Rattus norvegicus: one gene and its partners. The protein of the gene in region 2 interacts with the protein of the main gene of each other region in a pairwise test. Links are inferred from orthologs where the notes say so. Each region holds a gene or a part of one and is shown on either strand. Other genes may lie near its edges. The genes, in order: Ddit3, Cebpe and Cebpg.

Region 1 (3,998 bases), on a different chromosome or scaffold from region 2:
GACTGAGAATTGGGAAAACAAACCAGTTGCCATTTTTGAGGCTGACTTTGAGACAAGCCAGCTCTAAAACAACATTATGGGATCAGAGAAAGACATGGTCTGACAGCAAAAGCTGGTTCTGGTCAAGGCCTGGTCTAACTCTCATCCCAGCAAAGCAAGTTGAGCAGCATTAGGAGCTGACTGGGAGGGTGGCTAAGATTACCTGCTTTCAGGTGTGGTGGTGTATGAAGATGCACTTCCTTCTGGAACACTGTGGAGAAAGGGGAAGAAACAGGTCCTTTACCTCTAGCCTCTTACTGGTCTTTCTCTAGCTGGTTTCTTAATTTCTGTCATTGGATTTTGAGACAGTTTCTCTGTGAAGCCCGGGGCATCCTGGAATTCTGGAACTCAACTCTGTAGACCAGGCCACAGAGAGGCTCGTGTGTGTGTGTGTGTGTGTGTGTGTGTGTGTGTGTGTGTGTGTGTGTGTCCCTGAAGCCAAGGACAGGCATGCTTAACTTTATTTTTAGTTGCTGACATTTGTAGTCCTGATTACATAATAGCAAAGTCCTGGCCAACTAAGTTTTCTCTAAATCCAGATAGACCTCAGATCTGCCAAAGTGAGAACTAAAATACAGGGAAGAGAGATTTCAGCAGTATTTGCTTAAACTCCATTCCCATCCTAGCCTCCAGACCTGCCCTGGGATCTCCATCTCTTTTGGTTGTTGAGCAGGCATTCAGCTTACACAAAAGGCCTTTCCTACCAAGGGGGTACAGTTCTTACTAAATGGCAACTATAGGTGCCTAAAGCCAAACATTTGGTATCCTTAATTCCTCCCTTCTCAGATACCACAGCTCAGTCTAAAGCACTGGCAACTTCAATATTCTTTAGAAGTACCCAAAACCTAAATATTTCTCACTTTTTCTCATTATTTCCAGATGTAAACTTACCATGCATTATGCATTTCATTCCCTAGATTATTTTTGGAAGCCTTGAAATCTTTTTTTTTTTTTTTTTTTTTTTTTTTTTAGACAGGGTCTTGCTGTGTAGCTTTTGCTGTCCTGGAACTTACTTTGTAGACTAGCTGGCTTTGAACTCTGATCTACCTACCTTTCAAGTGCTGGGGTTAAAGGCATTTGCCATTATTTCCAGCTAAGATCTCCTGTTTCTATTCTTGTCTTTTTTATTTTCATGGCTGCGGGTTGACCTAGGGCCCTCTACATACTAGGCAAGCAGTCTACTATTGAGCTACACACTCAACCCTTTGTTTTTGTATTTATTTTGAGTTAGGATCTGACTATGCTGGCCTGGAGCTCAGAGCTCTGCCTGCTCCTACCTCTTTGAGTGTTGGAATTAAATGCATGGGGTCTTTCCCCAACCCTTTTAATTTAGGACATTCCTCTGCTCAGATCCCCCAATGGATTCCTGTTTCAGGACTGTTGAAAGACTAGCATCCTGAGAATGCTTGCAAGGCTCTACAGGACCTGCTACTTGAGTTTCCATTCACCACCCTCTCCTGCTTACTCTAGTCCAGCTCACTGCCCTGCTCCTAAGGATACTGGCACACTCATCTCAACCCTTCTGCTCCTTCTCTCCCTTCTATAAACCTCTTCCACATTACCTGCTTGGCTCACAGGCTTGCCTTCTTTCCATCTCACCCACCCACTGAGGCAATTCCTGAATGATAAAACCTCTAGCCACCATCCTGAACTATTTTTTCCCTGCTTCTGTTTTTCCCCCCTTTTGCTTTACATTGAAATGTAAGTTTTATTGAGAACAGTTTCGTCTTTTGCTTCTAATATACCCTGGATCCCCAAATGCTTGGCACATAGTGGGTGCTTATTAGGCATTTGTTAGGAACGAATAGAGAACAACTAAGCCCACTGAGCCCAAAGGCAGAGCTGAGCTGCCTGTCTCTGGGGACTGCAGACGCAATATTGCCCTGAGTGTTTCTCTGCAGGGTTGTCCTCTAGGGAAAACTCCTTGGTCTTCCAGTGTGTGGGACCTGGCTTTCATCAGCAGAGGAGCCCCAGGCCTGAGGGTGCAGAGACAAACAGTGGGCTGGCCTGATGCAACGGTTACAGAGATTAGTTGGGAGACAGGACTGAGGAAAGAAGCAGAGATCAGTCCTAAGAGAAGCAGAAGACCCTGGAGAGATCCCAAGTAATTTCCCATAGTTAAAGAGACCCAGGCTGCTCTCTTGTACGGAAACCCAGAAACCTCTGGGGAAAAGGGAAAAACCCATCTATGCTCCTCCCACCGGCACCCCCACTCGCAAAGATCTGTCAGTCTTTGAGTTGTCTTGAACGTTAGAGACAGCTACTAAAGTGGCCATGTTGGTGGTCCCTGAGGCGCTTCAGCTTGAAAGAGTTGGGGGGAATGAGGCTGGTGGAGAAGAGGTGCTAACAGCCGGAGTCCCCAACATTGGGGGGTGTGTCCTGTTGCCCCACCTTTCCTGCGAACCGCCTAGGCCTAAGATGGCCCGCAAATGGTCAGTACTGAGACAAATTTCCGAAGGCAACCGGAGTCCCTTTGCAGAGCAGGGACCAACCTGAGACAAGGGAACGGGAATGCAATCGCCCAAAGAGGTGGCCTGTAAGCACCATTCCCGAATCAGGAATTACCCGCCTTCACTCGCCCCTCAGTCTACAAACTCACAGTGGAAGGGGTGGGGCTACACCCTCAAGGACAGTTGCCTCTAACTTTGTGGAATAGCTATGTTGGCGAGGATGGGAAAGTAAGGGGTAGACGGAGTCAGTACTCGCCTCTCTCCTCAGGTTCCGGCTGTTATTTTGGCTCTGTCGCTGCCACCCGCTCATCTTCAACATGGTATGATCGACGTATTAGACTCAAGATACTGACCTCTGGAGCGGAGAGCGAGTATCTTTTATGCTATTCGGTCCCTCCTGGGGGGGGGTAGTGTCCAGGAGCCTACCAATCAGAAAGCGGCACGCTGGCACAGGCTCCGCCTCACCCCTCACGTCCGCCACTCAGGAGTCCCGTGGCCCCGCCTCCATCGCGCCCTCTGGCTCGAGAGTCTACGTTATCTCGGACCCGGAAGTGGCTTTGGGTCACGAGGCTTCGCAGAGGAGGTGAGTGAGTCATGCGCGCGCGCGGAGGAGAGTGCGGCGAGGGAGGGGATGACGTGGGGGGGGCGGAGGGGGAGCGGGGATGATGCAATGTTTGGCAACCGGTGTCCGCGCGCGCACGCGCAGGAGACGTCGATGGTGGTGGGAGGTGCTGGGGAGCGGGCGGGAGGGGGGGATGGGGGAGAGAGGAAAGAAGGCGGAGCGCCAGCTCACAGTGTCCAACGGCCCCAACGGCTGTCCTTCCTGAACTTGTCTGCCCACCTCCCATCACCTTTAACTTACTCCTCCATAAAAGACTCATTTTCCCTGGCCCCTCCCAACTAATGGGCACCGAGGCTCTTGAACCTCTTTAAAGTTTCCAATTTGTTCACCTGGATTGACATCTTCTGGAGTCTTTTAAGAGACCTCCTCCTCTTTTAGCCTTCTAACGCTTCCCAAAGACTGAGGTACTGGCATTTCCTTGGTAGTCCATCCGCTTCTCTCAGAAGGGCAGCTTTAACGTTTGTTTCAGAATCGTCCACTGCGTGCCAGAATTCAAGTTCTTTGTAGAGTGTAGCCTCCTGCCTACTTATCCTACCCCTGCTTTGTGTGATGCTCTTATGCCCTTCACTAAGCCCAATACCCACCCTTTTCCTTCTCCAAGATAGCAAGTCCTGTGACTCCCTGCTGATTAGCTGGCCTCATGCCTCTAGGTGTCTGGGTTCACGACCTAGAGACTGGGACGTGCATGCACTTGAGCGCATGATTGCCTGGACTGGGTCATTCTAGTTTAATTTGCCCAAGGAATCTACCGTACTCAGTTGTAAATTAAAGAATGATAGGTAAAGGTAAAAACAGCACTGTGAAGAAAACTTGAGTAAAAGTAAAAACATCTTGCAAAACCTATTTTTTGTGCCATGAAAACAGAGGCCATGTGGTGGCCTATTACA
Region 2 (3,795 bases):
CTGAGTTCAAATCCCAGCAACCACATGGTGGCTCACAACCATCTGTAATGAGATCTGATGCCCTCTTCTGGTGTATCTGAAGACAGCAAGGGTGTACTCACATACATAAAATAAATAAATCTTTTAAAAAAAAAAAAACCAAAAAACTAAATTCTCTCTCTAGAACATCTGTTTGCAATAAAAGAGCCAGGAAGGTACGACGGCACATCTGTTAGCTCAGCTCCATAGAGGCTGAAGCAGGAAGATGAGAGTTCAAGGCCAGCCTAGGCTAACAGGGAGACTCAACCTAAAAAAAAAAAAAAAAGTTAAACGTAACACAACACACTTCTCATGTCTCTGTGTTCTTTTCTTGCCACTAAATCCAGAGCCTTGCCTGAAACAGAGCCACAACCGACTGGAAGGAGCGAGAAGTTCCCAAACAAAAGAGAAAAATACACTTTGGAGGTTAGTAGAAGATCAAGAAGGGCAATCGGGCAGCTACCGGTTTCTCCTCCGGACCCTGAAAGAGCCCCAGGAAGAGGGGAAGACAAGAGAGAAGGCTTCTCAAGCCTACAAGAGGAAGTGGACCCGAGAGACACGAAGTAGAGGTCAGAAAACAGTCATGCAGAAGGAAAGCGGCAAACTAAGCTGCCCTGAGCTCCAAGGCCTGCATGCAGCCCAGGGCACAGGAAGTAGGAGGCAGAGCCTCTGGCCAGTTGCGGGGTGGGGTCAGCCTGAGCCTCTTTCAGGGTGGAGCAACTGGGACCTCCAGCAGATCTTGTCTGTTGGTTCTGGGGCAGCCTGGGCCCGAGGTACAGGGCCCATGTCCTGACCAGAAACCTCAGCTATGTCCAAGCAGTCCGGGACTGTGCCGGGCTGCTAGCCTGGATACATGCGCACAAGCCCTGTGCAAAGACCTAGCCTTAATAGCAGCACTCTGGAGGTAAAGGCAGGCAGAACTCTGTGAGTTCAAGGCCAGCCTGAGCTACATCATGAGATCCTGTCTCAAAACTAGCATGAGCATACCCCTTACTAGGGCCAGGGCTAGCTTGGTCCTAGAATCTACTGCTGTTTTCCAAACCCTTCAAGCAACGAAGGCCTACACGAGGCCTGGGAGGTGGGGCTGTAGAGGAACTGACTTACCCCAGGGTAGGTGGAGTTCAGGACTTGGGGGGAACAGGGAAGAAGATGCATCAAGGGAGGAGTTTAGATCAAGTTGGCACTGGAGGAGTGCTTTGTCTGCTGGCTCTGGCTTGGCGCCTCACTCTGCACGGGTCTCTTTGGAAGTCGGAGGAAGACAGGCATTCAGAGAAGCTACTCTGGGGCAAGGGATTAGAATCCCTTGAGCTCACAGGCAAGAAGGGCCATTTTCCCAAAGAGCAAATGCTGGACTGTGGCTGGGGCCTCAGCAAAGAGCACCCTAACTGCTAAGCACCCCTCCCTCCGGGGTGTGCCCTGCCCCTCCCTGAGTCACACCAAGGAGAGAGAGGAAAGGGAAGAAAGGAGAGGCACTGACTACAGAAGGAAAGGGAAGCAGAGGAGGAGAGAAGCCACGTAGGAGTTGGTGACAGAGAAGACCAGAGAGGGCAGACCTAGGGCAAATCTAGGACAGGGGGAGATCAAGAGAGGGCAGGCTGAGCATCCCAACGTGGGAGCGCCCCTGAGCACAGGACCCAGGGGCGGGGAGCCAAGGGGCGGGCCGGCCATGTCCCACGGGACCTACTATGAATGCGAGCCTCGGGGTGGCCAGCAGCCACTTGAGTTCTCAGGGGGTCGAGCTGGGCCCGGGGAGCTGGGGGACATGTGTGAGCATGAGGCCTCCATTGACCTCTCCGCCTACATCGAGTCTGGGGAAGAACAGCTACTTTCTGACCTCTTTGCCATGAAGCCAACGCCTGAAGCCCGAAGCCTTAAGGGCCCAGGAACACCTTCATTTCCTCACTACCTGCCGGCTGACCCTCGGCCATTTGCCTATCCCTCACACACATTTGGCCCAGATAGGAAGGCTTTGGGACCTGGCATCTACAGCAACCCAGGGAGCTACGACCCCAGGGCTGTGGCGGTGAAAGAGGAGCCTCGAGGGCCAGAGGGCAACCGAGGCACCGGCAGAGGCAGCTACAATCCCCTGCAGTACCAAGTGGCACACTGTGGGCAGACAGCAGTGCACCTCCCCCCGACCCTGGCAGCACCTGGCCAGCCCCTGCGCGTCCTCAAGGTAAGACTAAGGTAGCTCTCCTGGTTTCCTCCCCGGGGTGGAGCAAGGTGGTTGGATGAGGGAATTCTGACTACTGGGCATCCCTAACGAGTCTGTGTTTGGTGCTCCTCTGTGAACATGGCTTACCCCAAGACCCTGTTTCCAGACTCTGAATTCATTTCTCAGAGCTCTACTGTGTCCTAAAGATACTTGTAGTAGCCGCTCTATCCTGTTCCGGAGGAGGGAGGGAGCGTTCTGCTGTCCACTATGCCCCGTCTCTTGTTTCTCTGCTGCCTGCTTTCTGGATGAGGAAATGCGGCTGACTAGAATTTTTCAATAAGAGACTTATTGCAGACAAACCAAAGGAAAGGGTCCTCAGAGAATATGAGAGCAAAAGAAAGCTCTGGTCTCAGATCAGGGACCATATGCATCCGGGCTACACAGACACAGGGTGATGCCCGGGAGCCCTATATCCCTTTAAGGCCTCAAGTATGCCCTTTGCTACTGGGATTCCTGCTTAGCCTTCACTCGGCCTCCTGGTGGAGCCTCACCTCTCTGTCCCCTTACCCTCCAGGCCCCTGTGGCGGCTGCTGCCCCTCCCTGCAGCCCCCTTCTCAAGGCACCCTCCCCTGCTGGCCCCTCGCACAAGGGCAAGAAGGCAGTGAACAAAGATAGCCTGGAGTACCGGCTGCGACGCGAACGCAACAACATCGCAGTGCGCAAGAGCCGGGACAAAGCCAAGAGGCGCATTATGGAGACACAGCAGAAGGTGTTAGAGTACATGGCGGAAAATGAGCGTCTGCGCAGCCGCGTGGACCAGCTCACCCAGGAGTTAGACACTCTCCGCAACCTCTTCCGCCAGATCCCCGAGGCTGCCAGCCTCATCAAGGGTGTCGGGGGCTGCAGCTGAGCCTGCCTGGCAGACTATGGGCACCGGGCCCTAAGGACCCCGCCCACCCTCCTAGGTCCCCAGAGTCCTAAACAGGCCAAGCCTGAAAAAGAGATCATGGACAATGGCAGCCAGTAACTGGGAAAGTCGGGACCAAAATGATTCTGTGGCTGAATAAATTGCACTGTGACTTGATGCTGGAGCTGTTCACTGGGTCTTGGGCCAGGGCCTGGTGGGAATGCTGTGTGTATACTCCTGGAAGACCCCGAGGGCAGGGAATACATGTGGCTAGTCCACATCGTGTCTTCTCCATGGCCAAATGAACGCCTAGAAATACTAACATGCTACCCATGGCTCTGTCCGTCACACCCTCCAGCCAAGCCTCAGCCTGTCCCTCTCTGCTCCTCTGTCACTTCACCTCCATGTCCACCCACCTACCCACTTGGTCCTTTGTACACTGAGCACAGGCTTGGTAGCACCACCACGGTGCAAGCCAGTGTCTGGAGCAGCCTCTGCATCGTGCCCTGAGAAACTCCTGGGGCTCAGCGTGATCCAAGTGCTACACAGCTCCAATGCCAGGCCCACTGACCTTTGGCCTGCTCTCTGACTTTAGGCCTGGGAGCTCTTTTCCCAGGTGACCAAGGGAAATTTTTCTGATGGCCCTGCCATATTCGTGGTCCTTGAGCTGTGGATCCAGCATTCAGTCTCTTTTTTCTTGTCTTACTTCCTCACT
Region 3 (4,073 bases), on a different chromosome or scaffold from region 2:
CCAAGAACCAACACAGAATGCAGCTGTCAGGGAGGGTAGCTGGCAAAAAGAGAGTCTACCTCAATGTACATATGACATACAAGGATATTTTTATTTTCTATAGTTTTTATATGATTAGAAAATATTAGGGATAAGATCATGATTATTTTGTGAGAAACAAAGCACAGTTCATCTTTGATAGTGCTAAGAGTCATGAAAAAAAAAATGGCTCTTAACACAGCGATCCAAACCTAAAGAAACATACTGGTTTTGAGACAGCTCCCCAAATGTGCATAGGGTTATCAGGAGTCATTCTCTGTGTTTGCCTGTTTTTTGTTTTTTGTTTTTTGTTTTTTTGTTTTTTTTGTTTTTTTCTTTTTTTGTAGGTATTCTCATCTCTCAGGGATTCCTGGAAGTCTTAAGTGGAGAGCTGCTCTCCTGGCCTTGGCGCGGATGAAGAAACATTTCTTTTTGAAAGCCAGTGAGTTTTGAATGATAAGCATTGCTAAAGAGGAAGCAATCAAACCTATCTCTCAGGCTCTGCCCTCCACCCAGCACGCTGCTTCCTGTACTTCAAAAAACAAAAACAAACAAACAAACAAACAAAACCCAACAAAACCAGCTTTTTGATTCTTTTGTGAACTGTTTGGGAGAACCAGGCTGGACTGCTTGTCACTTTTAAGACAGCACCTCAGGTCCATCATCCGCTCTCACAGAGACGAGCACACTTTGGAAATCGTGATTTGTCTGAGAGCCACAGTCTACTGTTCTCAAGAGTGTGACAAGTGCTAACCCTAGCACTGGACAGTTTTTCCTTAACGTGCTTTTGTCAAAATGAAGTTTGCAGACGCCCTAGGGCCGCGAGGCCTAAACAAAACAAAAAAAATCAAAATCACTAACTCAAAAATCCACCCGAGGAAATGCCATTTCCCTAAGGCAGGTGAGACTCTCATTACTATGACAGAACTTTTCTCGCTACCGGTCACTCCCATCGCTCAGGGCCGCCGCCCGCCACCACGGACAGCCTAAGGGGGAAACCGCGGAGCGCGCCTCCAGCCAGCGCCGGTGCTACCACGCCCACCACGCCCGCTCCGCCGTAAGTCCGCCTCTTGCTGCCACCCTGGCTGTGATTGGCTGGTGGAGCTGCCGGTCTTGAGAAGCGAGCGCGTCGTTCTCCGAGCAGCGCTTCTATTGGTCACGGCTGCGGCGGCAGCGCGCGGACCCGAAGAGGAGGGGAAAGCCGGTGGCCGCGGTGGCGGAACGGGCGGAGGCTGCCGGTTTCGTAACCGTCGCTCCTCCTCGCCGACTCGCAGGCTGCGAGGCCTGGGTAGGGTCGGACCGCGCCGCGCGGGGCCGCTCGGAGTGGAGGCCGTCTGGGGGCGGGCGGGCCGGCCGGAGGCGCAGGTAAGGAGGCCGCGGGTTCTAGCTCGGAGGGGTTGGGGGAGGAGGCCGCAGCGGAGCCCGCCGCTCGCGTAGGCACCGGCCGGGCTCGAGGAGACCCGGCCCTGCCGGATTCAGCAGGTTGGCCCGGAAGGCCCCCGGCGGCTTGGCGGCGCGGGCGGGGACCGGGAGCGGCGTCTGATGCAACCTGCGGGCAACACCCGGCGGGGCTGAGCTCATCCCTGGCCGCGGCCCAGCGCCGCCGCGCAGGGCGCCGACCCCCGCGCTCCCCCAGGCGCCCCCTCACCACAGTCGGGGAAGGGATGGAGTACCAGGTGGCCCCTCCAGAACCTGCTCCCCGGCGACGTGCAGCGTGACAAGCCTGGCGCGCATTGGCCCCTGGGAATGGAGAGTGTTTCTAGAATAGAAGATGGACCGAATCTTACTTTGGAGCCACCTAGGACTCTTCTGTCGCTTCCCAAACGGCTCGGTCTGGGGGAGGAGGGCCCGGGTCCTATTTGGAGTTAATAACCTAGTGGTCATCTAGGGAAGGCACTTGATTTTTTAAACACTTAGCGCTGCAAGAGGGAGATTTCGTTTGTTTTTTGGGACGCGGCCGCGTGTCTTGTAGTTCATTGGGAGGGGAAGGACATCCTAGATAGCGCACCGGTTCACTAGACGCAGAAGGTCAAGCCATGAAGCCTTTCCTTAGCTCGCCTGGAGGGAACTCGGGAAAAGAGCCAGCAGACGAATACAGGTGGAGAAGTTGGGCGGCGTGCGTGAGGATTGTTTCTCTTTCTAAGTGCGCTTGTGTATTTCTGGTCTTAAGAAGGCTGGCATGCTTAGATTTGCTCTGCTCTTTGTTGTATTTTGTTTGTTTCTTTGTAAGCCGCCTCATAAGATGTATCAAATTTAGAAAGGTTTTAACCTTTGTGAGTTGCACAACAGCTGGGGCCTGTGTCTCTGGAGTTTCCACCCGCTTGAATCCTTACTTGAATATATTATCATTGAATGCATACCTGTCTCACAGAGGAAATTTTGAAATAAAGCACCCCGTCTTTACTGAGAAATTCAACATAGAAGAATTCAGAGCATGGTAGGCAAGCCACTCTACCTCTGAGCCGCATCCCTAGCCTTCAGAGCGCTCTAAGGTCCGTTCAGCTGTTGTCATTTGAGTAGTATTAATAAGCTATCCCTGCGGTTCTTACCTGTTCCTGAAAAACTGTAGATAATGGCAGGACGCTACTGAGCTGAAGAAATACTTGAGTCTGTTTCCTGAGTCCGATGGGCATGCCCGACTGACTCAGTTATTTTTATGACCTATCAGAAACAAATAGGTGGGAGCAGACTTCCCTCCCCCTCCCCCAATATCCTTTAAATTCTCACACCACGTCATGATTGCCAGCCAGCTCTGTGATCTTGGAGAGGTCCTTTCATCCCTAGCGAATTAAATGCTCCCTAGGAAAGTCCCTGGGAGCATTCCCTTCTGAGATCATGGGAAGACACACAGGACCTGGTTGACAGTTGCCACAGTCACAATAATGAGTACTGTAGCAATTTTAGGTTTCCCTCAGAGGGGTGGTTGCATAGGTTCTTACACTAGCAAGTTTATTGGTCCTCTCTCTAGTCCATTGCTGTGCCCTGCCATTAAAGAGAGGGAAAAAAGTGAACAGGAACTCCTAATAAATATAGTTATAAACAATGTATTTTTGAATGTGCTAAATAGTACTATAAATAGATGTAAAGGATAACATCCAAACAAGCTTATGTTTTCTTCACAACTCCAGTGGACCACTTACACTGAACTCCTTGAAGGAGTCTCCTCTCCTTCATGGACTCTGCCTCCTACAGTCTCCAGGGAGCTGGGATTGCCAAAGAGACTGGGGGAGCAGATTGAACAAAAGGCACAAAGAGAAAACAGAGACCATTTAGAATGCTTTAGGGAGCAGAACTTGTAGAGAGGGTTAGGATCTTGGCTTTGATCCTGTAGTCACAGACATTGATTTTTAGTAGCAAGATGTGACATTGTTAGGTTTGAATGGAAGACTGCTTGACTTGCAGGTACCAAACTCTTTGAGGTCAAATGACTGATCCTTTTATAGGGGTCACCTAAGACCATCCGAAAACAGATATTTATATCATGATTCATAACCATAGCAAAATTACAGCTATGTAGTAGCAACGAAAATAACTATGGCTGGGGGTTGCCACAGCATGAAGAACCTGTATTAAAGGGTCAAAACATCAAGAAGGTTAACTATTGCTCTAGATAATCTAGATAGTGGGTGCTTGGAGGGAGCTCAGGCTGCTACACCAGAGGCTAGGGCTCCTGGGAGATGATGTCAACCTGAGGTAATTTCTGTGGCATTAGGAACGACAAGAGATGTGGGATATTTTTGTTTGTAAACCTGAAGACTCAACCTTCATTAAGGAAATTGAGTGAAGATTTGATTTTGGGGGGCTAATGGAGGGATACATGGTTCTATCTAGGTTTATGGAAAAAAGTGACAAGCTAGGGAAGTTCTGTACAGGTTTATTGTTCCAAGTAAAAATTTAGACAAGTTCTATTTTACTATTCTAACATTCCAGAGTTTCATTGTTTTATTCTTTTGAATGAACATTATTACTTTAGTTAATAAATTTGCATTTGAAGAAAGTTTTACTCTTTAAACATAGCCTCATATTCCTAAAATCCATTGTTTATATGCAGCCAA

The links.
Region 1: the proteins of Cebpe (region 2) and Ddit3 interact in binary tests that used the Homo sapiens proteins (3 or more experiments, as listed by UniProt). The link is inferred for Rattus norvegicus from reciprocal best matches to the Homo sapiens genes CEBPE and DDIT3.
Region 3: the proteins of Cebpe (region 2) and Cebpg interact in a two-hybrid assay, tested with the Homo sapiens proteins (2 studies listed by BioGRID and IntAct, with this or other methods). The link is inferred for Rattus norvegicus from reciprocal best matches to the Homo sapiens genes CEBPE and CEBPG.

Annotation. Positions count from the first base shown.
Region 1 is NC_086025.1:65,000,540-65,004,537, reverse strand, and holds the start of Ddit3 (DNA damage-inducible transcript 3 protein), read right to left. Parts: upstream 2,844-3,998; 5' UTR 2,809-2,843; coding exon of another isoform or gene 2,746-2,808; intron 251-2,745; coding exon of another isoform or gene 209-250; 5' UTR 203-208; intron 1-202. Other genes in the region: uncharacterized LOC128125814 homolog, read right to left, coding at 209-250, 2,746-2,808. UniProt on the Homo sapiens protein: Multifunctional transcription factor in endoplasmic reticulum (ER) stress response. Plays an essential role in the response to a wide variety of cell stresses and induces cell cycle arrest and apoptosis in response to ER stress.
Region 2 is NC_086033.1:32,139,178-32,142,972, reverse strand, and holds Cebpe (CCAAT/enhancer-binding protein epsilon), read left to right. Parts: upstream 1-1,496; 5' UTR 1,497-1,684; coding exon 1,685-2,194; intron 2,195-2,747; coding exon 2,748-3,083; 3' UTR 3,084-3,257; downstream 3,258-3,795. UniProt on the Homo sapiens protein: Transcriptional activator. C/EBP are DNA-binding proteins that recognize two different motifs: the CCAAT homology common to many promoters and the enhanced core homology common to many enhancers.
Region 3 is NC_086019.1:96,826,888-96,830,960, reverse strand, and holds the start of Cebpg (CCAAT/enhancer-binding protein gamma), read left to right. Parts: upstream 1-1,224; 5' UTR 1,225-1,383; intron 1,384-1,416; exon of another isoform or gene 1,417-2,116; intron 2,117-4,073. UniProt on the Homo sapiens protein: Transcription factor that binds to the promoter and the enhancer regions of target genes. Binds to the enhancer element PRE-I (positive regulatory element-I) of the IL-4 gene. Binds to the promoter and the enhancer of the immunoglobulin heavy chain.